4 linked regions of the Arabidopsis thaliana genome follow. The protein of the gene in region 1 interacts with the protein of each later gene in a pairwise test. Each region holds a gene or a part of one and is shown on either strand. Other genes may lie near its edges.

Region 1 (4,271 bases):
CCTTGGCAAAAGGCATTCGGTACAACTAAATGTGGGTAGAAAGTTTCATGGAGGAGCTGAATCATTTGCTGACCGGCGGAAGATTTCTCCGGCGAAGCAGTGACGGGGCATGTGCTGAAACGTTGATCTACGCTGCAATCTCCACATTGCATACATGTGTCATCATATTGTCTATTTAATGTTTGCAATTAGTGGGCTTTTGGCCTCAAGTTGTACCTGTTTATGAAGCCCATTTGGGCTAATTAATAGAAAAATGTTTGCCGTTAAAAAAAAAAAAAAAAAAGTGGTTCGATGGTCGTAAATAACTTTTATGGGTTTTGGTCTTGGGTTAGAGAATTCAAATTCATGGGCCAACCCAATTTTCATTTTAAGTGCTTCTTCTATGATGACATTTCACGAAAATAATACAATGGATTGTCGAGGAAAGAAGTGATGTTTTCTGTAAATTGTTAGGCATTAGTTATTGGAGAAGCGAAATGTGAAATGCACATTGTTTGTTGGCTATTAACTTGCTTTTAAAGGTGACTTGAACATATTTGGTGTCTTATGTTGATTCCGAAGCTATGAGTACTTTTGATCAATCTAGTTTATGAAGTTACTTTTAGCATCGCCTTCTCGATTTTGTTACTGCCATCACATGTCAAGTTGGTTTTGATGTTTTGTAAGCATTGATAAGCTTTAACGAACAAACTTTTTTTTGTTATCATTACTGCGTATTGGAGTTTTGCATTACATCTTTTGCTTCTCTTATGGCTGAGCAGGGCCGGCCCTGGGCTAAAGTTGGTGAAACTCATGCTTTACGCGCCTAAAATTATAGATAATATTAAAGGGCATCAAATTTTAAAAATGTTTCGTAGTCTAGTGATTGTTTCATAGATTAGTGACTCTTTCGTGGACAGTTCGAACCTTACCTTCGTTTTTTTGAGACTTTAATTATAAATAGATTTAAAATGCTTAAGAATTTTAAATGAGCTTAAAGATGTTTTAGGCATCAAAATCTGTTGGGTTAGCCCTCTGGCTGAGTCTGAGCTCGCAGCATGCAATACTAATTTCTTAAGCTGCAATGCAGTGAGAAGACAAGTAAAACAAGATTAACATTAGCCCAAACTAGATTATTCACAACAAATGTTAATGACTATTACCTTGCTATCTTTATATTTAGCCTCTTTTGTTTGAGCTTAATTTTCAAAAATAATTTGCTTTCTGTCGGTTTAGTTTCTAGAAGGATTCGACTCTTAGTATCTTATCGGCTTCGTGAAGAAAAACTGTATTTCACCCATATATTTCTCAATCGTATTCGTATCTCACCCATGTATTCATATATCGTATTATAAAACAGAAAAGATATATAGATAAGGAAAAAAAACTCATATATATATATTTGCATATATAAAGTATTAAATGCAACAGCTATAGCAAAAAGGTTCTATGGTCTAGCGGTTAGGACATTGGACTCTGAATCCAGTAACCCGAGTTCAATTCTCGGTAGAACCTCTTTTTTTCACACTCCGGCCAAATTTTTTCCCCCGGCGATTTATGAACCCTAAATATAACGCCGGCCAACAACCAAAACTCGACGCTACTGCGAAATCTTTTTCTTTATCCTTTTTTTTCTTCTTTTTCGGGCGAAATGGAGAATTCGTTGCTTGATTCTGGTGAAACTATGGAGATTGTCGCTACACAAAAAATCGAGGAAACAGTGAAGAGCATACTCAGTGAATCTGATATGGACCAAATGACGGAGTTCAAACTCCGACTTGACGCTTCGGCTAAACTCGGTATCGACTTATCGGGAACCAATCACAAGAAGCTAGTCAGAGATGTTCTTGAGGTCTTTTTGCTATCGACTCCCGGTGAAGCACTCGTACCGGAGACGGTGGCTCCGGCGAAAAATGAGACAGTTTCTGTTGCTGCCGCTTCCGTTGGTGGTGAAGATGAGCGCTTTATTTGTAAGGTTGCGACTTTGCCTATTTGTTCTATGTTTGATTCACTGTATAGAGTAGAGATTGTGATCATCTCGATTTTGAGTTTTTCAGTGGTCACTGTAGAAATTGTTGGTCTTTAACTGTAGTTATCGGAGAAGCAAAATGCGACGGTTCAAAGATACAGAGGCCAACCTTTTCTATCGATTGGTTCTCAGGAACATGGAAAGGCTTTTAGAGGTAATTTGAAACACAACTTGGTGTCTTGGTCTTGACTATGAAGCTATAAGTAGCCATTTTTGTTTTAGATATGCTCCTGTTGATTTCAATTGTTAGATGTTTCTTCTCTGTCAGGAGCACATTTGTCAACTAACCAATGGTCTGTAATCAAGAAGAATTTTGCAGCGATAGAGGACGGTATTAAGCAGTGCCAATCAAAACTAAAGTAAGAATGTGTACCTTATTTTAAGTCTATAAAGATTCATGTTCCCTGGCATTGCTTTTAGTGTTTTATGGTCATATAATCATCGTGGCATAGGGCATTACTGTCTGGCTAGCAATGTAGGCTGCTTATCTTGCTATTAAACGTTATGCAGATCTGAAGCAGCACGAAATGGAGATACTTCTGAGGCTGTGGATAAGGACAGCTCTCACGGTTTTTCTGTTATCAAGATTTCACGATTTGATGGAAAGAGTTATCTTTACTGGGCTTCACAGATGGAACTCTTTCTGAAGCAATTGAAGCTGACTTATGTACTCTCTGAACCTTGTCCCAGTATTGGTAGCTCTCAAGGCCCTGAAACCAACCCCAGGGAAATAACTCGAGCTGATGCTACGGGGAAAAAATGGTTGAGAGATGATTACCTGTGCTATACTCACTTGATGAACTCCTTGTCAGATCATCTATACCGTCGATACTCTCAGAAATTTAAGCATGCCAAAGAATTGTGGGACGAGTTAAAATGGGTCTACCAGTGTGATGAATCCAAATCGAAGAGGTCACAAGTCAGAAAGTACATTGAATTCAGAATGGTGGAAGAGAGACCGATACTCGAGCAAGTCCAAGTCTTTAACAAGATTGCGGATTCCATAGTGAGTGCTGGTATGTTTCTTGATGAGGCATTTCATGTGAGTACCATCATCTCCAAGTTTCCCCCGTCTTGGAGAGGCTTCTGCACCAGGTTAATGGAAGAGGAGTATTTACCAGTCTGGATGTTGATGGAACGAGTAAAAGCTGAGGAAGAGCTTCTCAGAAATGGAGCAAAAGGGGTTACATATAGACCAGCCACAGGCTCCTCTCAGATGGAAAGGACACCGAGTCTAGGAACAACACATAGAGGATCTCAGAGCGTAGGTTGGAAGAGGAAAGAACCTGAGAGAGACGAGAGAGTCATCATCGTCTGTGACAACTGTGGGAGGAAAGGACATCTCGCAAAGCATTGCTGGGGTAGTAAATCTGATGAGAGAGCTTCCGGAAAATCAAACCGGATCAACTCCTCAGTCGCTGCACCTGTGGAATCAGAGACTCAAGCAACAACAAACAATGATAGGGGGTAGTAGTTGATGATTGCTGAAGCCAAAATGTTTATATCTCTTCACAGATATACTTAAAGAGGTAAGTCTTTTGAATACCGTTGATTCAGGATTCAGAAGCAGTCCTTTTATGACCTTTTTTCAGCTTGTCCATATGTCTGGCCTATTAGATTTATGACACTGAAATGTATAAAAGAAGAACAGAGAGATGACCAATAGATCAGTTTTGGCCTGATTTAATGTAAAAGTATACTTTTATGAATGATAATTTTTTTGTCAAAATTGCTTTTTAAATCCTATTTTGAGGAACCAAAATAAAAACAGAAACCTCAAAACTGATATACAAACAAATAAACTGACATCAATTGAGGTGACAATACTTAACACACAACCAAAAATTAAGAGTTTCTTTGTCCCAAGCGTTATGGAAGATATTCTCAGCCTCTAAAATTAAACTTGAACGTCGAAATTTTAAAAAGGACCAGATGGAGAGTAATATAAAATTAGCGGGTGAAAAATAGAAGAAATTAAAAGTTTCAGGGTGAAAAGGAAAAAAAATGAAACCTGTCAGACCGCCGTGCGACCACCCCGGCAAGGGAGAACCGAGCCGAGTAACCATCCTCTACAGCACCGGATGCATCCAAGGACAATCGTAGCCGTCAATCACGCTCAAGCCGCACGGTCACGGTTCATCAACAAGGGTTTAGGGCCTGTCTCTTGAGAAATTTTCTCAAGAAAACAGATGTACGAGCCTATAGTTCAAGTAAGGTCGTGACCATTGATGCTTTGTATCCATATATAAAGAAAACGTTTCTC
Region 2 (2,970 bases), on another chromosome or scaffold:
GGGGATGAAAATTAAAAATAGTGTCTCTCAACAGTCACTACTGCATCTTTGTTAATTTATGATGGGTGTATCATGATATGCTATTTTGCATTTTCCTTTGTTGCAGTGTAGACTACATAGTTATTACCAGCGTAGACCGTGACGATATACCTGATGGTGGAAGTGGACATTTTGCGCAGACTGTCAAAGCTATGAAGGTTATTAATATTCTATTTGTTTATGCATTATGTTATTTAAGCATACCTTTTTGTGCATTTCTCGAATGTTGTTTCAGAGTATTTATGAAAATGAAAATATATATCTCATCTCTGTAGAGACATAAGCCGGATATAATGATAGAATGCTTAACTTCTGATTTTCGTGGGGATTTGGAGGCTGTCGACACTCTTGTGCACTCGGGATTGGATGTTTTTGCTCACAATGTCGAGACTGTGAAAAGGCTCCAGCGACTTGTGAGGGATCCTAGGGCTGGGTGAGTGCTGTTTCTTGTTCTTCATTTTTTTATATGTTCTGCAAATTTGGTTATGGCATAGATGGGCTGAGCAGTGAATTGATCCTCTGCTCCGGGATGTCAATCTCATATTACACAGTCAAATATCTCCTAAAGTGAGACATAGGTGGTGTTCTGCATCTTTAGTTGTAGTAAATCTCCATTTTAATGTGGATATAATGTGGAGAATGCAGATATGAGCAGAGCATGTCAGTTTTGAAACATGCAAAGATCAGCAAACCTGGAATGATCACAAAGACATCCATAATGCTTGGTCTTGGAGAAACAGACGAAGAGTTGAAGGAAGCAATGGCTGATCTAAGAGCTATAGATGTTGATATTCTAACACTTGGCCAGTATCTACAGGTAAACTAATCACTTCAACATTCCCCACATCATTCGCAATATTCCTATTTCCAAGATAGAAAGATCCCAAATTTCAAAGAACATCTACGATTTAAAACCGTTTCTCTTGTTCCACAATGAAGCCAACTCCATTGCATCTGACTGTGAAAGAGTATGTCACACCTGAGAAGTTTGATTTCTGGAAAACATACGGAGAATCAATAGGATTTCGTTATGTTGCAAGTGGTCCACTGGTAAAGCCACAAACTATTTCTTACTCTTTATGTCAAAAAATATCTGAGAACATAGAAGATACAGAAATGTACTTGTTTGATATTGGATATATACTTTTTGCAGGTAAGATCTTCATATAGAGCAGGAGAGCTTTTTGTTAAGACAATGGTGAAAGAAAGCTACTCTAAATCCTTGTCTTAATAACAACAATGGCTACTATAATGCCAAAAATGATTGCTGAGACCACAAAGCCTTCTTCCTATCTTTTTTGTTTGTTTCTTTTAATAGACTTCATTTATTTTGGTAATTGATTTGGAAACCATTGTGGATATATAAAAGTTTATATATACTAGTTTTGTGTTATTATAAAATCCTGCCAATAATATCTGGAAATTGTCTCAAGATATTTACAGTGTTGATTCTCTATCTGAAGCCACAAGTTCCTCATCTCTTACATTGTCTTAAGTCTGACACGCGTCGCCTTTCTTTATCCAAAAATAATCCGACTTTTAATTTAAACCAAATAATTAGCAAAATTAGTAATCACCTTGATTAAATTAACCATCTAATATAAATAGATGAGGGGCTAAATGATATGATCTTTTTTGTTTTCTCTCACACTTTCTTAAGATTTTTTTCTTCGGCTCGGACGCAGATGACTAACAGTTACGCTCTGTCACCGGCGATTATCGCCGCCGTTCGTCCTCCGGCATCTCAAGACTATCTAGTTGCTGCTTCTCTTAGTGGACGCAAATCGATCAACTCTTCATCTTCGTCCATTTTCGTACCTATCTCATTATCTACTTCCTACGGTCGAAGCAAATGCGCCTTCTCAATCTCGCGGAAGAATCCAAAATCGACGATTCGTTGCGATATTGCTGTGAAATCGGCGGCTTCTGTAGACGCGGACGCTGATCTATCGTCATCTACGTCGTTGGAGACGGAGGAAGACGAGAAAGCGAAGGAGAAGATTGGAGCTAGGGTTAGGGTTACGGTTCCGTTGAAAGTTTACCATGTGGTTCGTGTACCGGAGGTTGAATTGATGGGAATGGAAGGTTTTATCAAAGATTACGTCGTTCTTTGGAAAGGAAAGAAAATCTCAGCTAATCTGCCGTTTAAGGTACAGTTCGTGAAAGAGATCGAAGGTCGTGGTCCTGTCAAATTCTTCACGCATCTTAAGGAAGACGAGTTCGAGTTAATTGATCCGTGATTGAATTGAAAAAGGCAAAAACTTTTCTTCTCTTTCTGATATTAGACTTGAAAAATCTTTTGTGAATGGTTTGTTTGTATGTACTTTTGTATACATTTAGCTTATTATATACATAAGATTTCACCCATTCTTGAATCCTTTATTGCTGTTTTCTTGCTTCTGATTTGGTTTCCCAGAGTATATAGTTCGTCTTGTGTTGGAGAAACTAAAAGCTGTCTATTGATCCATTGACTAGCTTAGAAGCCTATCAAACTGATTTTGCATTTGATGTGTTCACTTCAAATGAACATCATTGAATGATCTTATCCTCAAAATCTATCATCCGTTGGAGGTTATGAAGTAGATGGTAGTGAGCATGAAAGTGGTAAAGATATTGGTTTATGTAACTAAAGAGTGTTTTCAGTTGATTGTTATAGTGAGAATCTTTGTTTGTAGTTAGAACCAGAAACTAAAAGGAATGACATCAGTTGTTTTCTAGGTTCTTATCCTCTTTGTTTCGTATAATCAAATGTGGGATTGCATTCTCTGATCTTTGTAGAAGAGTCTTTGAGTTAGAAGTAATGATGGCATGAGAGAGTGTTGAGGAATTAGTTTATGTGTCAATGTGGATGGTTCCTTTGCTGCAACTCTTTTTTGTAGTAATAATATGAGTATATGATGTGGGCAGTAGTATTGTGGTAATTCTTCTCAA
Region 3 (3,848 bases), on another chromosome or scaffold:
TGCCACTTTCTTAGGCGGCGCGTGGGTCTCAGATTCGTCGCGGTCGTCTGATGCTCTGACATCCTCGTCTTTCCTTTTTCCGTTCTCAGACATTTTCTTAACCTCTAAAAAAAACACTCTTCTACTGCAAAAATTGACTCTTGAGATTCTCAAGTTAAATAAAAAGCACCTCTCTCCTTTTCTCGCGTAATATATCTACTGCGTTCACCGAATTACAACTGTGATATCAGATTCGGAACGCCATTTTACAAGCGCACAGTTTGAGAACACGCGCGGCCAAACTTAAAACGGGGGAGTTTTTTGGGAAGGTAAATATTCTTTGGAAAAGAGCAACTATAGCAATGAAAGTAGCAACACAGAGTGATACATTTATTGTGATGGGTTCATCTTCAAAGACAATGTCTGCTTATGGCCTTGTCCGGATCAAGTGAAGTTTGGCAAGAGCTATGTAACATTTAGACCTATCTTGTTTATAACTTATCAAATGAATACTTGTATTCCTGCAACGTATCTTAATTTGCAAATAAAACAGCACTACAGCAGTAAATAAAAGAGCAATCATTATATTCTTAATACCAACCAAAGCTTGTCTGAACCAAAAGTGAAAGATTCCATACACCAACTAATTTGAAGCAGCTTACACTAGCAGAACATGGTGTTGTTCTACAAAAACAACCAAAACAACTGAGCCATATTCTAATAGACGTACAACCAATGATACAAGTTTTAAAACCTAAGAAAGGTCAGAGAGGGCCTTCTCGATATCCTCTGCGTGGTTCCGAAGAGTGTTCCACTGCATTAAGGAAAAGCTGTGTAATAAGCAAATAACAAGAAAACAGAAACACTTCTAGGAGACATAAAACAGTGGAGAGAGATAGAAAGAGATGTGAGTACCTGATCCACGCTTAGAGAGATACCTGCAACGTATAACAAACATAGAGATAATCTTGTCAACATGATTAGTTATGTAGAGATAAACTAATATAGCTGTCTCTAGAGAAAGACATGAAGGAGCAATAGCACCAAAATAAACAAAACGTTGTTGTACAAAAGCAAACACTCTGCACCATCTCCGCTCATACTTACAAGTCCATAAACAGTCTCAATAAGCAGAATTGCCTATTATAAAACCCTAAGATATGCAATTCTATAAACCTGACTAAATGCAGAAACTTAACAAAGCAAAACAGTAACGAAATATAAAACTAAGAGATGAGGAAACACATTACTAGAAATAATGAATTATGAGAGCCAAGGGGCATTGGTTTAAATTACAAAATAAAGTTACCTTTCTTGCCAGGCAAAGTCTTTCCGTCCTTGACATAGAACTCACGAATGTCAATCCAAATCTTCCCGTTCCAATTCCTTACAGAGACTCTCCTATTCTTAGATATCTGATGTATAACCAACATGAACCCTAATTTGATTAAAACCCTAATTTTGAGCAAAACACATCAACAAAATTAAAACTTGACCGAAACCCATAAGCTCACTGCTAATAGAGTAGATAACGAAATTGAAAGATAGACAGAAAGTGTAGACTAACGTTGCAGACGACGATATCGTCAGACTGGTCGGAATCGTCTGCTGGCTTTGCGACTTTCTTAGCCGGCGCGTGGGTTTCAGATTCGTCATCTGATGCTCTGACATCTTCGTCTTTCCTTTTTCCTCTAGAAGACATTTTCTCCAACTGTAAATAAGCAGACCCAAAATGTTCTCTTCAGACCAGAGTAAACTCGCACTAAACAAAAAACCGAGCAATTACAAAATTTAGTAAAAGTGAGAAGGAAACCTGGTCGTGACGCTGCAACGAGTTTCTCGGAGACGGCGAAAGGACTCTTCTACTGCGAAATCGACAAAAGAGAATTGAGAGATTCTGAAGAAAAATGAATCGGCGCGTCTCTTCTCGCGTATTTATGTTAATGTGTTCACCGACCACGCGCTGTTGCAGAGCGTGTGATAAAATTAGAACTGTGACAGTTGTTTTGATTCGGAACGCTTTTTTATAAACGCGAATTTGAGAAAACGCGGGAGCTTTTTTGCTTGGGAAAGGTGAAAACAAAAAGATTTGGACTTGGTTTGAAATCGCCGAACCCTTGACAAAACTCGATGGGGAATTTATTCGTGAAGAAACCGAAGATCACGGAGGTTGATCGAGCGATTCTCTCTCTCAAAACCCAAAGGCGCAAGCTTGGTCAATATCAGCAACAGGTTCTTGATTCCTTCGCCTTGTGATTTCGCATTTCTAGGGTTTATTCTTGCTCGAATTTGGTCTGAGACAGAAAGTGCAGTTTGATTCGATTCACTAATGGTTATGAATAAGGGTAAAGGTTACTGAATTTCGGCTATGGGTTCTCGAGGTTTAAGAAGCAGTTAAATGTAGAAGTTGCCTTCAGAATCTGTCTTGGATCCAAATGTTGATTCTTATGTCAAGCTAATGATGGTTTAATTATTTCATCGCCACTATTGGTAGATAGTGAGTTTGATCGCTGAGAAAGTGGAATGCAAATGTTTTTTTTTTCTTTCCTATGATCCTGAGCTTTGACCTTTCTTTCTCTTAAACCTTTCTTTTTAGCTTGAGAAAGTAATTGAAGCAGAAAAGCAAGCTGCAAGAGACTTAATCCGTGAGAAGCGAAAGGACAGGGCTTTGTTAGCATTGAAGAAAAAACGGACACAAGAAGAGTTGTTGAAGCAAGTAGATCAGTGGCTCATCAATGTCGAACAACAAGTAAATTGGCTTGACCTTCTTCTTATCATCTCCTTGTTTCCATCACATAACCTTAGTGCTATATAAACAGTACTTTTCTTTTCTTTTATAGCTGATTTTATGTTTTGAAAGAAACATAAACGAATATATTTTGAACCTGTCTTTATGACTCAGTTGGCAGATATCGAACTTACAAGCAAGCAAAAAGCAGTCTTTGAGAGCTTAAAGCAAGGTAACAATGCAATTAAGGCGATTCAGAGCGAGGTCAACCTTGATGATGTTCAAAAACTGATGGATGACACTGCCGAGGCCAAGGCTTATCAGGATGTGAGTTAATAGTGAATCTTGTTGTTCCTTTTTGTTTGTGTGGTTCGCTTATAGTTACAATCATTTGTCACATTTGCCGAGCTTCTCCTTGTTTTTCTCCTTCATGGTTATGAGTATTCCCTTGCTTGATCTAACTGTTAAACACTTTGATTTTAGGAACTGAGTGCCATATTAGGTGAGAAACTATCAGCGGAAGATGAAGAAGAGATCTTAGCAGAATTCGACAACCTAGAAAGTCTGGTATGCTACATAATGGATTCTCTTGTTTCTCAGATACAATTGTTTCCAGCATTATGACCGTACTGCCCTATTGATGTTTCGAGTACCACCATTTACTTTGTGAAACAATCTTCTTGAGTGGAGTCAAATGTGATATATAATGTTTGTTTGTTTTGAAGCTGATTGTTGAAGATATGCCTGAAGTGCCTACGACAGAGCTCATGCCTGAAGAACCCGAGAAAATGGATCTCCCTGATGTGCCAACAAAAGCACCAGTCGCTTCCAATGAAACCACTTCAACAAAGAGAAAAGGTTTTTGTGATGTTTGTTCAAGTAACAATTGCTTCATACAAAGAACCTTTAACTCATAGATGCTTTTGTTGTTGCAGTTCTTGAAGAACCTTTGGAAGCTTGATTCAGAAGTGAAGAATCTGATAGACTACTACATAGCCACCTCGGATTATAATCATTCTTTGGAAACCTTTTTGTTATGGGCTCTTGAAGATCTTTGTGTATTCTCTTCTTACTCCTGCAGCTTGTAAAGAACCAAGTTCATGGAGTCTCTCTCCTTGTAAAATGGTTTGGTTGTTTCTAA
Region 4 (3,539 bases), on another chromosome or scaffold:
GCGCGTGGTCGGTGAACACATTAACATAAATACGCGAGAAGAGACGCGCCGATTCATTTTTCTTCAGAATCTCTCAATTCTCTTTTGTCGATTTCGCAGTAGAAGAGTCCTTTCGCCGTCTCCGAGAAACTCGTTGCAGCGTCACGACCAGGTTTCCTTCTCACTTTTACTAAATTTTGTAATTGCTCGGTTTTTTGTTTAGTGCGAGTTTACTCTGGTCTGAAGAGAACATTTTGGGTCTGCTTATTTACAGTTGGAGAAAATGTCTTCTAGAGGAAAAAGGAAAGACGAAGATGTCAGAGCATCAGATGACGAATCTGAAACCCACGCGCCGGCTAAGAAAGTCGCAAAGCCAGCAGACGATTCCGACCAGTCTGACGATATCGTCGTCTGCAACGTTAGTCTACACTTTCTGTCTATCTTTCAATTTCGTTATCTACTCTATTAGCAGTGAGCTTATGGGTTTCGGTCAAGTTTTAATTTTGTTGATGTGTTTTGCTCAAAATTAGGGTTTTAATCAAATTAGGGTTCATGTTGGTTATACATCAGATATCTAAGAATAGGAGAGTCTCTGTAAGGAATTGGAACGGGAAGATTTGGATTGACATTCGTGAGTTCTATGTCAAGGACGGAAAGACTTTGCCTGGCAAGAAAGGTAACTTTATTTTGTAATTTAAACCAATGCCCCTTGGCTCTCATAATTCATTATTTCTAGTAATGTGTTTCCTCATCTCTTAGTTTTATATTTCGTTACTGTTTTGCTTTGTTAAGTTTCTGCATTTAGTCAGGTTTATAGAATTGCATATCTTAGGGTTTTATAATAGGCAATTCTGCTTATTGAGACTGTTTATGGACTTGTAAGTATGAGCGGAGATGGTGCAGAGTGTTTGCTTTTGTACAACAACGTTTTGTTTATTTTGGTGCTATTGCTCCTTCATGTCTTTCTCTAGAGACAGCTATATTAGTTTATCTCTACATAACTAATCATGTTGACAAGATTATCTCTATGTTTGTTATACGTTGCAGGTATCTCTCTAAGCGTGGATCAGGTACTCACATCTCTTTCTATCTCTCTCCACTGTTTTATGTCTCCTAGAAGTGTTTCTGTTTTCTTGTTATTTGCTTATTACACAGCTTTTCCTTAATGCAGTGGAACACTCTTCGGAACCACGCAGAGGATATCGAGAAGGCCCTCTCTGACCTTTCTTAGGTTTTAAAACTTGTATCATTGGTTGTACGTCTATTAGAATATGGCTCAGTTGTTTTGGTTGTTTTTGTAGAACAACACCATGTTCTGCTAGTGTAAGCTGCTTCAAATTAGTTGGTGTATGGAATCTTTCACTTTTGGTTCAGACAAGCTTTGGTTGGTATTAAGAATATAATGATTGCTCTTTTATTTACTGCTGTAGTGCTGTTTTATTTGCAAATTAAGATACGTTGCAGGAATACAAGTATTCATTTGATAAGTTATAAACAAGATAGGTCTAAATGTTACATAGCTCTTGCCAAACTTCACTTGATCCGGACAAGGCCATAAGCAGACATTGTCTTTGAAGATGAACCCATCACAATAAATGTATCACTCTGTGTTGCTACTTTCATTGCTATAGTTGCTCTTTTCCAAAGAATATTTACCTTCCCAAAAAACTCCCCCGTTTTAAGTTTGGCCGCGCGTGTTCTCAAACTGTGCGCTTGTAAAATGGCGTTCCGAATCTGATATCACAGTTGTAATTCGGTGAACGCAGTAGATATATTACGCGAGAAAAGGAGAGAGGTGCTTTTTATTTAACTTGAGAATCTCAAGAGTCAATTTTTGCAGTAGAAGAGTGTTTTTTTTAGAGGTTAAGAAAATGTCTGAGAACGGAAAAAGGAAAGACGAGGATGTCAGAGCATCAGACGACCGCGACGAATCTGAGACCCACGCGCCGCCTAAGAAAGTGGCAAAGCCAGCGGACGAGATTGAGGACATCTTCATCTGCAATGTTAGTCTCTCTACTATTCATCTCTTTTTTGTCTGTAGCAGTTCGTATGAGTTTTAGGGTTTGGATCAAGTTGTGATATTTGTTTATGATGTTATGTTTTGTTTACATTCCAGTTAGATAAGAATCGGAGAGTCTTTGTGAGGAATTGCAATGGGAGGATTTGGATTGCCATTCGTCAGTTCTTTGTCAAGGACGGTATAACTTTACCTTGTAATAGCAAGCAAGGTAAATTTTTGTTTTTAACTACATATCTTCTTTTGACTGTCTCTCTTCTTCTCACAATTCCACATTTGCTAATACTCTGTATCCTCCTCTCTTTTCTTTTTTATGGTCAACAATGTATCCTCATCCCTTTGTTTTCATGTTTTGTTTCGTTAAGGTTCTGCATTTAGTTAGCAGATCTTAGGGACTTTTATTATATATCTAGTACTTCTGCGGTTTGGGACTGAGAGGAGGAGATGCGCAGAGTGTTTTCTTTTCATCAACAACGTCTTGGTTTTTGTCTCCTAGGGCCAGCTATATTAGTTTGCTTTCTTTGCATAATCATGTTGACAAGATTTTCGATGTCTCCTATATGTTGCAGGTATCTCTCTAAGCCTGGAACAGGTATTCACATCTCTCTTCCATTGTTTATGTCTTCCACACGTGCATATGTCCTGCTTATTACACGAGACCTTTTTCTTAATGCAGTGGAACGATCTTCGGAACCATGAGGAGGATATCGATAAGGCCCTCTCTGAGCTTTCTGAGGTTTAAAAGCTTGTGTAATCGGGTATTGGAAGGTGGCTTTGGTTGTTTTGGTTTGTTTTTCAGAACAACACCATGTTCTGCAAGTGTTAGCTGCTTCGAGTTAGTTCATGTGTTGAATCTATTATTTGATGTTGATTACTCTTTTATTTGATGTTGGATTTACAACTTGAGATACGTTGCAGGAATACAAGCATTCATTTTGATTAGTTATAAATAATATATATAGGTGATCTAAATGATAACATAGCTCTTGCCAAAGTTTACTTAAATGATCCGGACATTGTGCTAGAGAGCTGGGACACTGAGCGATCCCACGTCAAGAACTCTGTGCAATATCTGCAGCAAACCAATCACGAAATGACAAATTATTAAGGCTGACAATCATGAAATAATATGGATATTTAAGGCATTTTCAAGGCTGAAGGAAAGGGAAGAGCTTTATGCTATGCTCATACCTCACCAACCCTAGCATTGATTTTCAATGGAACAATGTCATCAGCTCTTGTTTCGCCTATATTTACAATTGCGGTCATAGCACCAGCCTCATGAGCCGCTCTGCAAAAGGTATATAGAAAGCTTCTTAGTAAGATGCAAACTCAAAACTGGATGATTATTCTCCTGCATCACCTGCAAAGGCGAAAAGCAGACATTGTCATTAAGGATGAACCCAACACGAGGAATGCATCGCTCTGTTTTGCAACTTCCATTGCTTGAGTAGCTCTTTCCTTCGGGATGTTGTCTCCAAAGAAAATTACCTTCAATTCAACGAGAACATAATAAGAAACAGAGCTAAACTGATTCGTCTCT

What was found.
Region 2: the proteins of AT4G00980 (region 1) and FTRA2 interact in a two-hybrid assay, tested with the Arabidopsis thaliana proteins (one large-scale study listed by BioGRID).
Region 3: the proteins of AT4G00980 (region 1) and KIWI interact in a two-hybrid assay, tested with the Arabidopsis thaliana proteins (one large-scale study listed by BioGRID).
Region 4: the proteins of AT4G00980 (region 1) and AT5G09240 interact in a two-hybrid assay, tested with the Arabidopsis thaliana proteins (one large-scale study listed by BioGRID).

The regions. Positions count from the first base shown.
Region 1 is NC_003075.7:421,940-426,210, reverse strand, and holds AT4G00980 (zinc knuckle (CCHC-type) family protein), read left to right. Parts: upstream 1-1,622; 5' UTR 1,623-1,630; coding exon 1,631-1,954; intron 1,955-2,071; coding exon 2,072-2,162; intron 2,163-2,276; coding exon 2,277-2,367; intron 2,368-2,518; coding exon 2,519-3,479; 3' UTR 3,480-3,733; downstream 3,734-4,271.
Region 2 is NC_003076.8:2,709,283-2,712,252, reverse strand, and holds FTRA2 (ferredoxin/thioredoxin reductase subunit A (variable subunit) 2), read left to right. Parts: upstream 1-1,654; 5' UTR 1,655-1,664; coding exon 1,665-2,279; 3' UTR 2,280-2,443; downstream 2,444-2,970. Other genes in the region: AT5G08415 (Radical SAM superfamily protein), read left to right, coding at 107-197, 315-472, 685-856, 979-1,089, 1,193-1,270. UniProt on the Arabidopsis thaliana protein: Variable subunit of the ferredoxin-thioredoxin reductase (FTR), which catalyzes the two-electron reduction of thioredoxins by the electrons provided by reduced ferredoxin.
Region 3 is NC_003076.8:2,874,688-2,878,535, forward strand, and holds KIWI (ssDNA-binding transcriptional regulator), read right to left. Parts: upstream 1,923-3,848; 5' UTR 1,793-1,922; intron 1,691-1,792; 5' UTR 1,682-1,690; coding exon 1,547-1,681; intron 1,435-1,546; coding exon of another isoform or gene 1,395-1,434; coding exon 1,289-1,394; coding exon of another isoform or gene 1,272-1,288; exon of another isoform or gene 918-1,271; coding exon 799-917; 3' UTR 794-798; coding exon of another isoform or gene 734-793; 3' UTR 501-733; downstream 1-500. Other genes in the region: AT5G09240 (ssDNA-binding transcriptional regulator), read right to left, coding at 1-93; VPS20.2 (vacuolar protein sorting-associated protein 20.2), read left to right, coding at 2,110-2,211, 2,576-2,728, 2,882-3,034, 3,191-3,274, 3,433-3,565, 3,643-3,668. UniProt on the Arabidopsis thaliana protein: General coactivator that functions cooperatively with TAFs and mediates functional interactions between upstream activators and the general transcriptional machinery. Binds single-stranded DNA.
Region 4 is NC_003076.8:2,873,092-2,876,630, reverse strand, and holds AT5G09240 (ssDNA-binding transcriptional regulator), read left to right. Parts: upstream 1-1,781; 5' UTR 1,782-1,850; coding exon 1,851-1,982; intron 1,983-2,095; coding exon 2,096-2,207; intron 2,208-2,492; coding exon of another isoform or gene 2,493-2,565; coding exon 2,566-2,738; 3' UTR 2,739-2,971; downstream 2,972-3,539. Other genes in the region: KIWI (ssDNA-binding transcriptional regulator), read left to right, coding at 263-397, 550-655, 1,027-1,145; SRT2 (sirtuin 2), read right to left, coding at 3,018-3,068, 3,188-3,287, 3,360-3,487.